2 linked regions of the Pelodiscus sinensis genome follow. The protein of the gene in region 1 interacts with the protein of each later gene in a pairwise test. Links are inferred from orthologs where the notes say so. Each region holds a gene or a part of one and is shown in the gene's direction. Other genes may lie near its edges.

What was found. The genes of interacting proteins can lie anywhere in the genome.
Region 2: the proteins of DMRTB1 (region 1) and EXOSC1 interact in a two-hybrid assay, tested with the Homo sapiens proteins (2 studies listed by BioGRID). The link is inferred for Pelodiscus sinensis from reciprocal best matches to the Homo sapiens genes DMRTB1 and EXOSC1.

Annotation. Positions count from the first base shown.
Region 1 is NC_134719.1:10,762,346-10,769,768, forward strand, and holds the start of DMRTB1 (doublesex- and mab-3-related transcription factor B1), read left to right. Parts: upstream 1-4,419; 5' UTR 4,420-4,916; coding exon 4,917-5,340; intron 5,341-7,423.
Region 2 is NW_027465990.1:88,447-95,561, forward strand, and holds the start of EXOSC1 (exosome complex component CSL4), read left to right. Parts: upstream 1-4,102; 5' UTR 4,103-4,167; coding exon 4,168-4,237; intron 4,238-4,452; coding exon 4,453-4,568; intron 4,569-5,769; coding exon 5,770-5,844; intron 5,845-6,480; coding exon 6,481-6,569; intron 6,570-6,867; coding exon 6,868-6,901; intron 6,902-7,115. UniProt on the Homo sapiens protein: Non-catalytic component of the RNA exosome complex which has 3'->5' exoribonuclease activity and participates in a multitude of cellular RNA processing and degradation events.

The DNA of each region.
Region 1 (7,423 bases):
CCAAGACTTGGACTCAGGGTCACAGGACCTCTCAGGTGTGGAGGGTCTAAGCCTGAGTCAAGCTAGTTCAAGCCCTATTGCTTTGCAATATTGATGTTGCTTTCAATCTATCCTGAAAATAATTATCTGCACAATTATCTGAATTTGTGCTTTTGGGCTATGTCTACACTGAAAGGTTTTTGCGCAAAAGAGCTGGTTTTGGCGCAAAAACCGGTGGAGCATCCACACCTCAAGTGTATTTTTACACAAGTAAATCAGCAGAACAGAGGGCTTTTGCTGGTAGAATTATTCCTCTCCCCACGAGAAATAACTCCTTTTTGCGCTACAGCTCTTGCGCAAAAAGGCAGGTGTGGACACTTCAGAGGGGTTTTTGCACAAGAAACTCCTATTGGCAAAAGCACAAGTGCTCTGATGGCCATTCTGTGACCATGCAGTGTAGACACTCCTACACAAACGCACATCGCTTTTGCAATGCGCTTTGAGATCTGGACACGCTTTTGCGCAAGAAGGTTTTGCGGAAGCTCTCTTCCACAAAAGGCTTCTTGCGCAGAACCCTGCAGTGTAGGCAAAGCCTTGGAGTCCACCAACAGACCTACACGCCAACTTTCTTTATGCTTTGGACTATCACATTTCCCCTCATAGACCATGAACAAAGGGCTAGAGTGGTCACAATTTGGAGAGGTGCTAGGAAGTACGGCATACGGATAGTTGGACTTGGGCCCTCATAATCAGTGTAGGTGCTGCAGCCCCAGGTTGGATCCGAGGGCTCAGGAATCCCTAACTTGGGGTTACAAATGAATGTAGACACTCAAGCCCTTGTTTAACAAATCCAGGGTCTGCTAACTCAAGTTCTATTAACCTAGGGCTTATTGCTGCAATGTAGATGTACCCTCAGTGACTCTGGATATTCCTGTACTGCAGTAGGACACCTGAGGTCTGTATCAGCTGACATCCATTTGTGGGGTTTGGGTTTCAGGGCTATACAGTTGGGCTACGTCTACACTGGCCCCTTCTCCGGAAGAGGCATGCTAATTTCTAACTTTGGAATAGGGAAATCCGCGGGGGATTTAAATATCCCCCGCGGGATTTAAATAAACATGTCCGCTGCTTTTTTTCCGGCTTGGGGAAAAGCTGGAAAAGAGCGTCCAGACTGGCGCAATCCTCCGGAATAAAGCCCTTTGCCGGAGGATCTCTTATTCCTACTTGAAAGTATAAAGCCTACTTGAAAGTAGGAATAAGAGATCCTCCGGAAAAGGGCTTTATTCCGGAGGATCGCACCAGTCTGGACGCTCTTTTCCGGCTTTTCCCCAAGCCGGAAAAAAAGCGGTGGACATGTTTATTTAAATCCCGCGGGGGATATTTAAATCCCCCACGGATTTCCCTATTCCAAAGTTAGAAATTAGCATGCCTCTTCCGAAGAAGGGGCCAGTGTAGACACAGCCTTGCAATGTAGACATCTGATCTCTGGTAGGAGCCTGGCTCTGAGCCCCTTTCATCTCGTGCGGTCCCAGACCCTAAGCTCCAGCCCAAGCCCGAATATCTACTCTGCAGTCTACTTTCATAACTCCAAAAGCTGATGAGCCACAGTCAACTGATGTGGGCAAGATGTGGGTGTTTTATTTGCAGAGTACCAAACAGCTTTGCCTCACTCCTTGTCTGAGGACCTGGCCCTGCCTTCCCCTTCTCTGAGGCTCTGCCCCCTGCTCACTCCCGTCTACTCTCCCTCCCTCTCTCCCACCCTCACTCACTTTCACCAGGACAGGACAGGAGGTTGGGGTGCAAAAAGGGCGTGTGCATGCTCTGGGGTGAGGCAAGAAATGAAGATTTTGAGCTGGACTGCAGTGTGGTGCTGAGAGGTTCAGAGTGTGGGAGCGTGCTCCGTGCAGGAGGGGCCGCAGGCTCTGGTAGGGAGTTTGGGTGCGTGAGGGGGTTCAGGGCTGGGACAGGAGTCTGGGACATGGGAGAGGGTTCAGAGAGAAGGCTCAGGTCGGTGTTCATCTCAGGTGGCTCCTGGAATTGGTGTCATCTCTCTCAGGCTCCTAGGAGGAAGTGTGGCCAGGTGGCTCATACACTGCCTCTGCCTGCAGGTGCTGCCGTCTCAGCTTCTATTGGCCATGGTTCCCAACCAGTGGGAGCTACAGAGCTGATGCACGGGATGGAGGGAGCCCCCTATGTCTTCCCTCTGCCTAGGAGCCAGAGGGAGATGCCGGCACTTCTCAGGAGCTATGAGGAGTTGGGCAGGCATGCTACCTGCCTTGCTGCAGGTGGCCAACCATACTTTAAATGGCCTGGTCAGCGGTGCCACGAGGGTCCCTTTTCAAGCTGGTGTTCCAATCAAAAACCGGACACCCCGGCAACCCTCTGTTTGATTGCAGTGTAGGCATACTCTTTGAGGACAGATTTTCAAAGCTAGATGGGCATCTATTGGTTCAGATCAGCACTTTGGAAAATCCCACTAGACCCTAAGCAAGTTAGACACCAAACTTGCATAAATGTCAAGAGGACTTGAGCACTCTTGAAAATTTTCCCTATGCTAAGTCAGAAGCCCCACTCGGGCTCAACAGGGCTCACACTTGAAAATCACTTAGGAGCTTTTGAACATGCCATCCTCAGTATCTGGCAGGAGACTAGTTTAAAAGTCAACAGTTTTTGTTACAATTTCCACCCATAGGAGGTGGAAGGTGCAAGGCAGTGCTGCAAGGAAGGATCTATGTAACCTTGAACTGCACTGTGAAACATATTCTGTTGCAACTGTCAGAAAGCAGCAGTAATACCTCCTTCATCCTGCGAATTCCTCCTGAAGCTGATGAGTAAATGAAGGACTGAGGCCACAGAGGCTACATCTAGACTGCAAGCCTTTTTCAAAAGATACTTTTGAAAAAGCCTCTTTCAAAAAAGAGTGGCTAGACTACACCCAGTACTTTTGAAAAAGCAAGCTTTTTCAAAAGAGAGCACCCATGCAGTCTGGATGCTCTCTTTCAAAAAAGCACAGTTTGCATTACATAGCATCTTTTTTTCAAAGGAGCACTTTAAAAAAAAAGGCATTATGCCTCGTGAAACAAGGTTTTCCGTGATCTAAAAAACTGCTGCATTCTTTCAATTTACTTTCGCAAGAACATGGCAGCAGTCTAGACTCAGGGTACGTTTTTTTCAAAAAAAGGCCATTTTTTCTGAAAAAAACTCTGTAGTCTGGACACACCCTGATTGATCACACGGTCACAAACTTAACTCCTTTCATGTGAGAAAGACCTGCTGTATGCTTCCTTCCACTGTTCAGGTTTGCCCTGAAAAGGGGCTATTGTATAAGAGTTATAGTTTTGTAAGTACTAGCCTAGTGGAATAAAAACACAGGTAGTTTTACAAGCAATAATGAAACAGGAGCATTATTACATTTTTAATTTTAAACCCATGTATGCAGGACTGGCCTTACCATGAGGCAAACTGAGGTGGCCGCTTCAGGTGCCAGATTGTGGGGGGCGGGGGGCTCCACTAGGACACAGAGTGTAGAAAATTGTGTCTGCTGCTGGTGCATATGTATTCCATCTGCAGTACCATGAGAGGAGTAGAAGAGGAACAAGGCAGAATTGAGACCTTTCAAAGTTTTGGCCAAAGCGAGGAGACATGGGGGTGTCATTTGAGCTCCCCGCCTCAGGTGCCAAAATGTTGTGGGCCGGCCCTGCATGTATGTTTACAGTTAGTAAAGATGTGGCAAAGGGAGATATATGATTGGAGGAACTCAGGGTATGTCTACACTACCACCCTAGTTCGAACTGGGGTGGTTAATGTAGTCAATCGAAGTTGCAAATGAAGCCCGGGATTTAAATATCCCGGGCTTCATTTGCATCTTGCCAGGTGCCGCCATTTTTAAATCCCCAGTAGTTCGGACTCCGTGCCCGCGGCTACACACGGCACGGAGTAGGTAGTTCGAATTAGGCTTTCGAACGAGGTGTAATGGTAGTTCGAATTAGAAAGCCTAATTCAAACTACCTACTCCATGCCGCGTGTAGCCGCGGGCACAGAGTCCGAACTACCAGGGATTTAAAAATGGCGGCGCCCAGCAAGATGCAAATGAAGCCCGGGATATTTAAATCCCGGGCTTCATTTGCAACTTTGATTGACTACATTAACCACCCTAGTTCGAACTAGGGTGGTAGTGCAGACATACCCTCAGTGTGCTTTTTGCCCTCGTGGTACACTGGATGAGATGAACATTGTAAAAAACCAGAATGGTGATCAGAAGTTTTTCTACTGAAGGAGTGAGGCTCTCCCCACGTGTTCAAGAAAAATACATGTTAGTTTGAAAAAAAAAATGAAACGGAAATAATTCCAGTATAAGATGCATGCAAGATATGATGGTAACTGTGGTACCAAAAAGGGAAGATTTTAATGAAAGGCAGAAAGGAGCCAGGTTGCCCAGCCTCCAGCATTAATTCGTGAGCACTCCAGAACAAAGACTGATTTTTAATTAAAGACTGTGTCATGTGATGTCATGTCCAGGAATATGTCCTACCAAAACTGACAACCCTAAAAGGGTCCCAAGCAGATTCCGCTTCTAGAGGGCGTAAAATATCCTTTTGCAATCACTGCCTTTGCCTATGTAAATCAGGTGTGTTACTCTGTAACTTACACATGAAAGCCCCAGGGATGTGCCCACAAATGGTTGCTTGTGCAGAATCAGAGGGCATGTTTTTGCAAACTTGGCCCTCTATGTCTTCTTTACAAAGCTACTTTGCTGCAGTGTGCCAGGGAGCATAGCTCATCCTCTCCTCTTGCAAAAGGCTGAGCAGGCTTAGTTGCTACATTGTCGCCAGTGGTGGTGGGCACACCCCGGCTTTGCCCCGCCCTGCTTCTAAGCTGAGCTTCTTCAAATTCTGGGTACACAGGGTGCTTTACGTGTGTGCCTGGCTGGGAGTGCCATGGAAGCGGAGGCAGCAGGGATGGCTGAGAAGACTACTCTGCGCACCCCCAAGTGCTCCCGCTGCCGGAACCATGGCTTTGTGGTGCCGGTGAAGGGCCACACAGGCCACTGCCGCTGGAAGCTCTGCCCCTGCGACAAGTGTGCACTCATTACAGAGCGCCAGAAGATCATGGCAGCTCAGAAGGCAATGCAGGGGCAGGACCCAGATGCCTCACCCAGGGAGAAGTCACCACCTGTGCCCTGCACCCCGGTTCATGGTAAAGGTCGGAAGGTTCCTGCAGCTGGCCCCAGCGCCTCGGACCACAGCAGCCCCGGGGGCAGGTGTGAAGGAGCCAAAACCACCCCGGCAGCCAGCAGCAGCAGCAGAGCCAGGACCCGCAGGCCAGTACCCGCTTCCAGCTCCCCACCCTTTGGGGACTTTGGTAGGGACCAGCTCAGCATTGGGGTGCCTGGCCTATAGGCCTTCACTCAAGATGATTAACTTCTATCTCTGTGTCTCTCTGTCCATCTGTGTTCATCATTCAGTGTCTGTCCATCTATTAGTGGGTATTGTTTGGTTGGTGTTTGTTCATTCATCTTCCAGGCCGATCTAGTGCCTCAGAAACTGCTAGGTCCCAGGTAAACTGTTTCCCAGAATTGCTGGAGTTGCTCTCACTCCACTTTCCCATCCTGTTTCCAGGTGGGTGTGTGTGGAATGCAATGCTGCATTTATTTTTGGTTTTGCAAAGTTTCCAAGTTGTGCCTATGGACTTTGTAGCTACAGGAACTGCCCTCAGCACCTTCTCAGCTTGTTTCCTTGTTGCAAAGATGGATTCATGCAACTAGTCCTTGTTTAACAGGGAAATGAATCAGTGACAGGAATAGAATCTTGATATTTCAATACAATACCTTGAGCTCTTTCTTCTGAGCTGTGCTATTATTTTTAAATTTACAGACATGCCCTCATGCAAAAACAAAGGAAAAAACCCCACAGAACAACAGAAAATGCAGATTAATAGGGGGATTTCTGCTGGAGTCGTCTAGAGAAGGCATTTTATAGTGGCAACATAAAAAAAGAGGACACCTCCTGGATTGGAATTTGATGTTTCACAGACTAGATTTGTCGAGAACCAGTTGGTGTAAAATTTTGTGTATTTAAGAATGGAAAATAGAATGTAGAAATGGAAAATGCATATGGTTATTTAGGCCATTACTTCTGATAGTGTTCTCTACCGTAGAGTCTTGGGTGTGCCTTGTCTAATCCATTTTTATTATTTATAGACTCCCACTGACCACAGTAGCCATTATATTTGGCCTCAGGAGAACCAGCACTCTAGCTCAGTGTTTCTCAACCAGTGGTATAAGTACCCTTACGGATACTCGAGAGAAGTCTGGGGGTTCGTCAACACAACTGAAATTTGGAGAAAATTCTTGTTTTAAGTTTTACAGCACTTTATTATTTTTGTACTTTTTACACCCAAAAATTTCATCACCCGCCCGACTACGATTAAGTTGTTTAAACAAATGTGTTGCAATGGTAGAAAAAAAAATGTGTGTGTCTGAAAACAGTAGGTACTGGGGGTACTTATAATTTTTTTTTTAAAGGGGGTACTTTATAAAAAAAAAGTTTGAGAAACACTGCTCTAGAACATACAGGCCAGATGATCTGAGAGATGGAGAGGAAGGAGTCACTTTAGATAGCTCCAGCACAGCCTCGTCTACCAACAGTTATTTAATTTTTATGCTTATGGGCCTGACAGCGGAAGTGTTTTTAGGAGTGATTTGAATGGATGAGACCTTGATACAGATATAGTCTAGTCATACATGGTGGGAACTACACTACTTTGGAAGATCACTTTGTGAACACGATTCTTTTTTAATAGCAAAATACAGTGGTTCTTTGAAAATGAACTGTAAAAATGAGAGAGACCAGGTGGTTGAGGTCAATATCTTTTATTGGACTAACTTCTGTTGATGGAGCTTTGTGTATCACAGCTCTACAGGTGACCGGAGGAAGAACTCTGTGAAGCTCAAAACTTGTCCCTTCTACCAACAGAAGTTGTTCAATAAAAGATACTTCCTCACCTGCCTTGTCTCTCTTATTTTGGGACCAACACAACAAAAATACTGCAAACAACTCTAGAAATGCCAGCTGTCACAGGGTACAGAGCTTTTTATGTCCTCTCAGTGATTTCAGTATTAAATTTCACTTCATCTGTAAGTCAAGCTGCTACCACAGGAAACTAGAAATCAAGCCGTTTGTCATACTTTTGATTGCAACAGAAGCATTAAAGATCCTGCAATCAGAAGTTTTTTGTGCATCCTGAACCAAGTTGTCAGCATAAATTTGAATCATATTTGCTCTCCCAAAATTGTATTAACCCATCTTTACAGCACCCTCCTTTCCTCCTCAATCCTAATGTTTCAATTAAAAAATAATTGAATAAGAACTGAATATAAACCCAAAGGGCCAGATTCTGCCTTAATTTACACAACTGAGGACAGAATATGGAACCATGACTCTTT
Region 2 (7,115 bases), on another chromosome or scaffold:
CCCAGGGCTGTCCTCCCGCCAGGCCTCCTCCCGCCAGGCCCCCCACCGCCAGCCCAGGGCTGTCCCCCCGCCAGGCCCCCCCACCGCCAGCCCAGGGCTGTCACCCCCGCCAGGCCCCCCCACCGCCAGCCCAGGCCTGTCACCCCGCCAGGCCCCCCCCACCGCCAGCCCAGGGCTGTCCCCCCGCCAGGCACCCCACCACCAGCCCAGGGCTGTCCCCCCCCCACGCTCCCCACCGCCAGCCCAGGCCTGTCACCCCGCCAGGCACCCCCACCACCAGCCCAGGGCTGTCCCCCCGCCAGGCCCCCCACCGCCAGCCCAGGGCTGTCCCCCCCCCACGCTCCCCACCGCCAGCCCAGGCCTGTCACCCCCGCCAGGCACCCCCCACCGCCAGCCCAGGGCTGTCCCCCCGCCAGGCCCCCCACCGCCAGCCCAGGGCTGTCCCCCCCCACGCTCCCCACCGCCAGCCCAGGCCTGTCACCCCGCCAGGCACCCCCCACCACCAGCCCAGGGCTGTCCCCCCGCCAGGCACCCCCACCACCAGCCCAGGGCTGTCCCCCCGCCAGGCACCCCCACCACCAGCCCAGGGCTGTCCCCCCACCACGCCCCCCACCGCCAGCCCAGGGCTGTCCCCCCCGCCAGGCCCCCCCACCGCCAGCCCAGGGCTGTCCCCCCGCCAGGCCCCCCACCGCCAGCCCAGGGCTGTCCCCCCGCCAGGCCCCCCACCGCCAGCCCAGGGCTGTCCCCCTGCCAGGCACCCCCACCGCCAGCCCAGGGCTGTCACCCCCCGCCAGGCACCCCCACCGCCAGCCCAGGGCTCTCACCCCGCCAGGCCCCCCACCGCCAGCCCAGGGCTGTCCCCCCACCGCCAGCCCAGGGCTGTCTTCCCGCCAGGCACCCCCCACCGCCAGCCCAGGGCTGTCCCCCCGCCAGGCCCCCCCCACCGCCAGCCCAGGCCTGTCCCCCCGCCAGGCACCCCCACCGCCAGCCCAGGGCTGTCCCCCCACCAGGCACCCCCACCGCCAGCCCAGGGCTGTCCCCCCACCAGGCACCCCCACCGCCAGCCCAGGGCTGTCCCCCCACCAGGCACCCCCACCACCAGCCCAGGGCTGTCCCCCCACCACGCCCCCCACCACCAGCCCAGGGCTGTCACCCCGCCAGGCCCCCCACCGCCAGCCCAGGGCTGTCCCCCCACCACGCCCCCCACCGCCAGCCCAGGGCTGTCCCCCCGCCAGGCACCCCCACCGCCAGCCCAGGGCTGTCCCCCCGCCAGGCCCCCCACCGCCAGCCCAGGGCTGTCACCCCGCCAGGCCCCCCACCGCCAGCCCAGGGCTGTCCCCCCGCCAGGCACCCCCACTGCCAGCCCAGGGCTCTCACCCCGCCAGGCACCCCCACCGCCAGCCCAGGGCTCTCACCCCGCCAGGCCCCCCACCGCCAGCCCAGGGCTCTCACCCCGCCAGGCCCCCCACCGCCAGCCCAGGGCTGTCACCCCCGCCAGGCCCCCCACCGCCAGCCCAGGGCTGTCCCCCCGCCAGGCCCCCCACCGCCAGCCCAGGGCTGTCCCCCCGCCAGGCACTTACCACCCCAAACCAGCGGGTGACATGGTCTACCAGCCAGTAGATGGGCTCGAAGAGGGAGTCGAGCAGCACGTCGCTGTTGGTGAAGGAGTTGTAGAGCAGGGAGTGGAGGCAAAGGCGCCCGTAGCGCCACAGCTGCTGCACCCGCCACACCAGCCTCAGCCTGCGTCGCCGGCCCACGCGCAGGCACTTCAGAAAGAGGCGCATCACCGCGGAGAACGCCCGCTGGCGGCTCCTCATCCCCACCGCGCACCGTCTGCGGAGAGAGCCCGGCTCAGCGCCACCCGGACCTGCCCTCCGCACCGGGGCAGCGTCCCCCGGACTGGGCCAGTGCTCAGCAGCGGGAAGAGACTCACAGGCTCACTCCCCGGCCGTGCGTGGCGCTGGGCCGCCTTCAGCTCCCTGCTCTGGCAGGGTTTCTGCCTCTGCCCTGCTGGCAGTGCCCCCTGGCAGGCACAAGCCACCCCTCTGGGTCGGGACGGGGGTGCCGGAGACCTTGGTGGGCCCAGCAAGGGGAATGAGCCCGGCTCCTGGGGCACAGGAGCGCAGAGCCTTCTGCTCCCTGCCCCCATCCCGGCTCAGGTGTTCACTGGCCCAGACGCAGAAGAAACCAGAGACGGAGCTCAGGGCACTCACAGGCTGCCAGCGTCGCCAGAGACCCTGGCGCTCAGAGCCAGGGAGCCCGCAGGGGGGGACAGGCGGCATTAAAAGCCCACCACCCCATCTCCCACCTCCCTCCTGAACCCGGCCCTGGGAGCTGCTTGCGCACAGCCCCAGCCAGGGGTGTGATCTCTGTCCACCCCCGAGTCCAATTCAGTGCAGGGCGGCCCTGGAAGCCAAGGCACAGCCCCTGGGCGGAAGCAGGATGAGCTGGCCAAAGGGGGCAGTGGGCATGGGGCCCTACCAGGCTGCTCACCTGCCTGCTGAGCTGTGCGCACTGGCCTGCAGTCAGCTGGAGTGAGGAGGAACCTGAGCCTGCCCGGGCATGGAGCCACCTCCCTGAGGCACACCCAGCATCAACGAGGAGAGGCTGCCCCCAGCAGGGCTCAGGCACAGAGCTGAGCACAGCGTGTCGAGTAGGCAGCCCAAGCAGGGGCCCTGGAGCCGGCTTCTCGGCCTAACTAGCACCTGTCTCTGGGGAGGACTGGCCGAACAAAGCCTCTGCCCTGCCTCTCAGAGGCCTGTCTCCTGCAGCGCTCAGCCTTGCCCCAGACTAGGCCCTTCTCCCCACTGCGGCCCTATAATACTCCCTCCCAGGCCGGCTCCTCCAGCCCCGGCATGTGGGGCTGGGGCAGCTCTCCCTCTGTTTTCTCTGGCCGGGATGTTCAGCGAATGTTTTACTTGGGAAGGCTGACGGGGGGAGGGGTATCACGCACAGCCGGCGGGGGGGTTCTCACTGTCTTTTGAACGTGCCCCACCGAAAAGGGAGGCATCCGATTTCAGAAAATACTGCGGTGAATTAAAGCAGGTGCACCCGATCTCTGCTGGGCTGGCGTCTCCAGGCCAGGGTGCGGGCTAAGGGTGGTGCTGTGCAGCGGGTGGGAATCCCACAGGCAGAGGATCTCGTCTACCCGAGGCTGTTCTGATGCACCCATCACCCTGGAACCAGGCCTCTGTGTCTCCCGCCTGGCAGGCAGCTCGGAGGGCGCTGCACCCCAGCGTGTCCATTGCAGGACGACCAGTGTGTGCTCGGGGCCTCTCCGCCGCGGATGGGGGAGGTACCCACCCACCGCTGGTCCTGGGGGGCGTGAGCCGAGCCAGGTGCCCAAACCCCCGGCCGGGCCACAGACATGGGGGTCTGCAGAGCCCCCTGCAGCAAGAGCCTCCCGCGAGGGCACGGACAGGGGGGCGTCACTGCCTGGGGGCCACAGAGGGAGACAGCCCCCGCCCCCCCCGCCCCCCCTCCGAGGACACCCCCTCCGCGAGATACCCCCTCCCCCTGGGAACCCCCCGTCCCCCTCCGAGACACCCCCTCCGCGAGATACCCCCTCCCCCTGGAACCCCCCGTCCCCCTCCGAGACACCCCCCTCCGCGAGATACCCCCCTCCCCCTGGAACCCCCCGCCCCCCCTCCGAGAGACACCCCCTCCGCGAGATACCCCCTCCCCCTGGAACCCCCCCGCCCCCCTCCGAGACACCCCCTCCGCGAGATACCCCCTCCCCCTGGAACCCCCCGCCCCCCTCCGAGACACCCCCTCCGCGAGATACCCCCTCCCCCCTGAACCCCCCGCCCCGCCCCCTTGGAACCCTCCGCCCCGCCCCCTTGGAATCCCCCGCCCCCCTCCGAGACACCCCCTCCCCCTGGAACCCTCCGCCCCGCCCCCTCGGAACCCCCGCCCCCTCCGCGAGATACCCGCCCCGCCCCCCTTACCTGCCGGCCCGCACCCCGCCTCCATCTGCCCCGGCCCCAGCCCTCACCGCCGGCCGGGCATCACCCCGGTACCTGAGGCTCACTGCGCCTGCGCGGCGCGCCCCGCGGAGCATGCCGGGAGCTGTAGTCTCTCCGCTCCAGACTGCAACTCCCGAAGCGCCCCGCGCTGGCCGGCGTCCCCTCCCCGCAGGCGGTAGCGGTCACGTGGGAGCACCGGCCAATGGGAAACTTCCTTCCCGGGGAGCTGCGGAGCGGCAGCATGGCCCGGCCGGCGCGGTGCTGCGTGCCCGGTGAGCCCCTCCCCCTCCCCCTCCCCGCCCCCCCCTTAACCGTCCCGGCCGGCTCGCGCCCCCTCCTCCCCTTACCCCCCCTTAACCCTCGCGCCCCCCTCCCCCTCACTGCCCCCCCCGCCGGCTCGCGCCCCCTTCCCCTTACCGCCCCTCCCCCCCTCACCGCCCCCCCCCGGCTCGTGCCCCCCCGCCGGGCTGACGCTTGCTGTCCCCAGGCGAGCGGCTCTGCGGGCTGCAGGAGGCGGCGCCGGGCAGCGGCACCTACACCCGGCTGGGCTCCGTGTGCGCCGCGCTGGCCGGCGGCCTGCTCACCACGCGCCGGGACGGAGAGGTGAGGGGGGGCGTCCTGCTGCTGGCCCCCTGCAAGCCCCGCCCCCACCTGAGTGCCCCGCCCCCGGAGGACCCGCTGGAGTCTGGGCACGGGGGGTGCAGCTTGCCGGGGGGGGGCGTCTGGGCACGGGGGGTGCAGCTTGCCGGGGGGGGTGCTCGGCCTGAGGCCATGGACGCGGGCAGACTGGCTGTCTCTGGGGCAGGCGAAGGGCGATGTCATGGGAGGTGTCTGCTGCAGGCCTCCTAGCCAGGACAGAAAGGGGCTGAGGGGTTTTGACCCACCCTGTGGATGTGAAGTGAGCCGCCTTGACATCCGCAGGTGTGGATGCCTGAGACTACCCATGGGCTTGCAGGGCCCTAGTGATGGGGGACTTCAGCGGCCAGGACATCTCTTGGGAATAGGGAGCTCAAAAGCCACCTAACAATGTGACCGCTCCAGATCCCAGGGTCACGTGCTGCTGGCTGTGCGGTATAACACTTATACGGAAAACCCACAGTGGAGCCTCCCAGGGAGCCAGCGAGTAACCGAAACGGAAACTGATCAGCTGAGGCTTGTGAGCGGCGGGGTTGAGGCTTATGGGTTAAGCGGTTGCACTGTTACGTCCCCGGCTGGGAAAAGAAGGCAGCAGGGCACAGGGCATCCAAGAGGAGTCTGGAGTGTATTGCAGAAAGCATCTGTGGGAGGCTGCTCTAGGTTTGATTTTGACAACTAGGGAGGAGCTGGTTGAGAATTTGAGAGTGGAAGGCAGCCTGGGTGAAAGCGAACAGGAAGTGGCGAGGTAAGGAATGGTGGGAAAGGCCAGCCCAAGAGCGACAGTGGGATTCAAGAAGGCAGACTTGAGTAACTCGGGGAGTTGGTAGGCTAGAGCCCATGGAAGCGAGTCTAGGGGGAAAGTAGCTCTAGAGAGTTGGTAGTTTTTCTGGGTGACACTTTCGGGCACAGGAGAGACAGGCAGTCTGGCCAGAGACCACCCAGGAGAGCTCATTGATCTGAAATTCAAGATTTGAGTCCTGTGAAAAGCGGGGAGTAGGTCACATGACGGAGGATGACTAAACACGTAACTGAAGCATGCAGGGACGAGTGCTTGGCCGGGCTGGGCCGGGCCTGGTGGACGTGGTATGCCGACACTGGCTCTGTGGGGGTGGGAGGTGGCCGTGCCAGGCACAGGGCTAACCAAGGGCTCCTCTCTACGCCTGTGCAGCTGCCGGTGGTGTCTGTGGTGAGAGACGTCGAGTCCCAGCTCCTGCCCGACGTGGGGGCCATTGTGACGTGCAAGGTAAACGCCTGCCTGGCCGGCTCCGCTGCTGGGTCTCTTGCTGCAGGAGCGCCGCGTTCGGTGGGGGGAGGGCAGGCCGGATGCCTGTGCAAGGACCGGAAAGGGTTACAAACCTCCTCTGCTGCTCAACCTCTGGCTGATCCCCTCTCTGCCTCATGCCAGGCTTCTCCGCAAGGGGCTGGCGGGCTCCGGGGTGGCTCTGTGAGAGGCAGGGAGCCTCTTGGCTCCCTGGCACCAGTTCCAGCCAGCCCACTCTGCTCTGGGAACCAAGTGTCGGGGCGCGGTGCCCCCTCCATCGCTGGCATTGGCACCCTCAGCCTAGAGGCCATGGAGGCCGAATTCCTGCTTTCCACCAAGGGGCTTCCGGGGGCAGCCTGGAGGGGAATAGGCTGCTGGTTGGGAGAAGCAGGTGGGTGTGGCTGGGAGTTGCAAGCTCTCCCCGGAGCGGAGTGTGGCAGTGAGTCGATCACCGGGCAGGGGAACGGGGGGCTCTGACTGGCTGTGGGTGGGTGGTTAGGTTAGTTCCCCTACAGTGGAGCAGGGGCGGGGCCAGTCCCTGCTGGTCTTGCTGCCCAGTACTTGGGTGCCTGGGGGAGCTATGCTTAGCTGGGGGGTCATGCCAGATTCTCCCCACAGGTGTGCAGCATTAACTCCCGCTTTGCCAAGGTGCGCATCCTCTACATCGGCTCCACGCCGCTGAAATCCACCTTCCGAGGTACCATACGGTAAGGCCTGACCTCACGGGCCCATCCCCAGGGTCTGGGGGAGGGTGGTTCCCCCTGTACTTTACCAATGTATGCCCAGCCCTGCCTGGGGAACAGAGCCAGCTCTGCTGCCCTGCAGCTCACCCCTTGTCCTAAGACTGGCTCCTGCAAGCTAATGCCTTCTGCCCAGTGCCGGGCCGCGTCCTGGGGAACGGCTGCATAAGCCCTGATGGGGCAGCCAGGGCTGCGTCTCCAGAGAGGCGAGCGTGGCCCTGGGCCCAGCAGGCGCGGGCTGAGATCTCGCTGTCTCTTCTTACAGGAGAGAAGACATTCGAGCCACAGAGAAAGACAAGGTCAGTCGGCTGCTGCCTGCTTCTGTTTCTGCCCAGCGCTTGGCTGCCACCCTCTTCCCTGCACATGCGGCCCAGGCCAAACCCCCAGGCATGGCTCACCCCATTCAGCCCCAGCTCCTGAGGTGGCTCCCTCTGGGAGGGGAGCTTGCTGACCCCTCATCTCAGAGGGCACCCCACTCCCCTCACTGGGACAGGCTGAGCTGGAGGGTTGGGG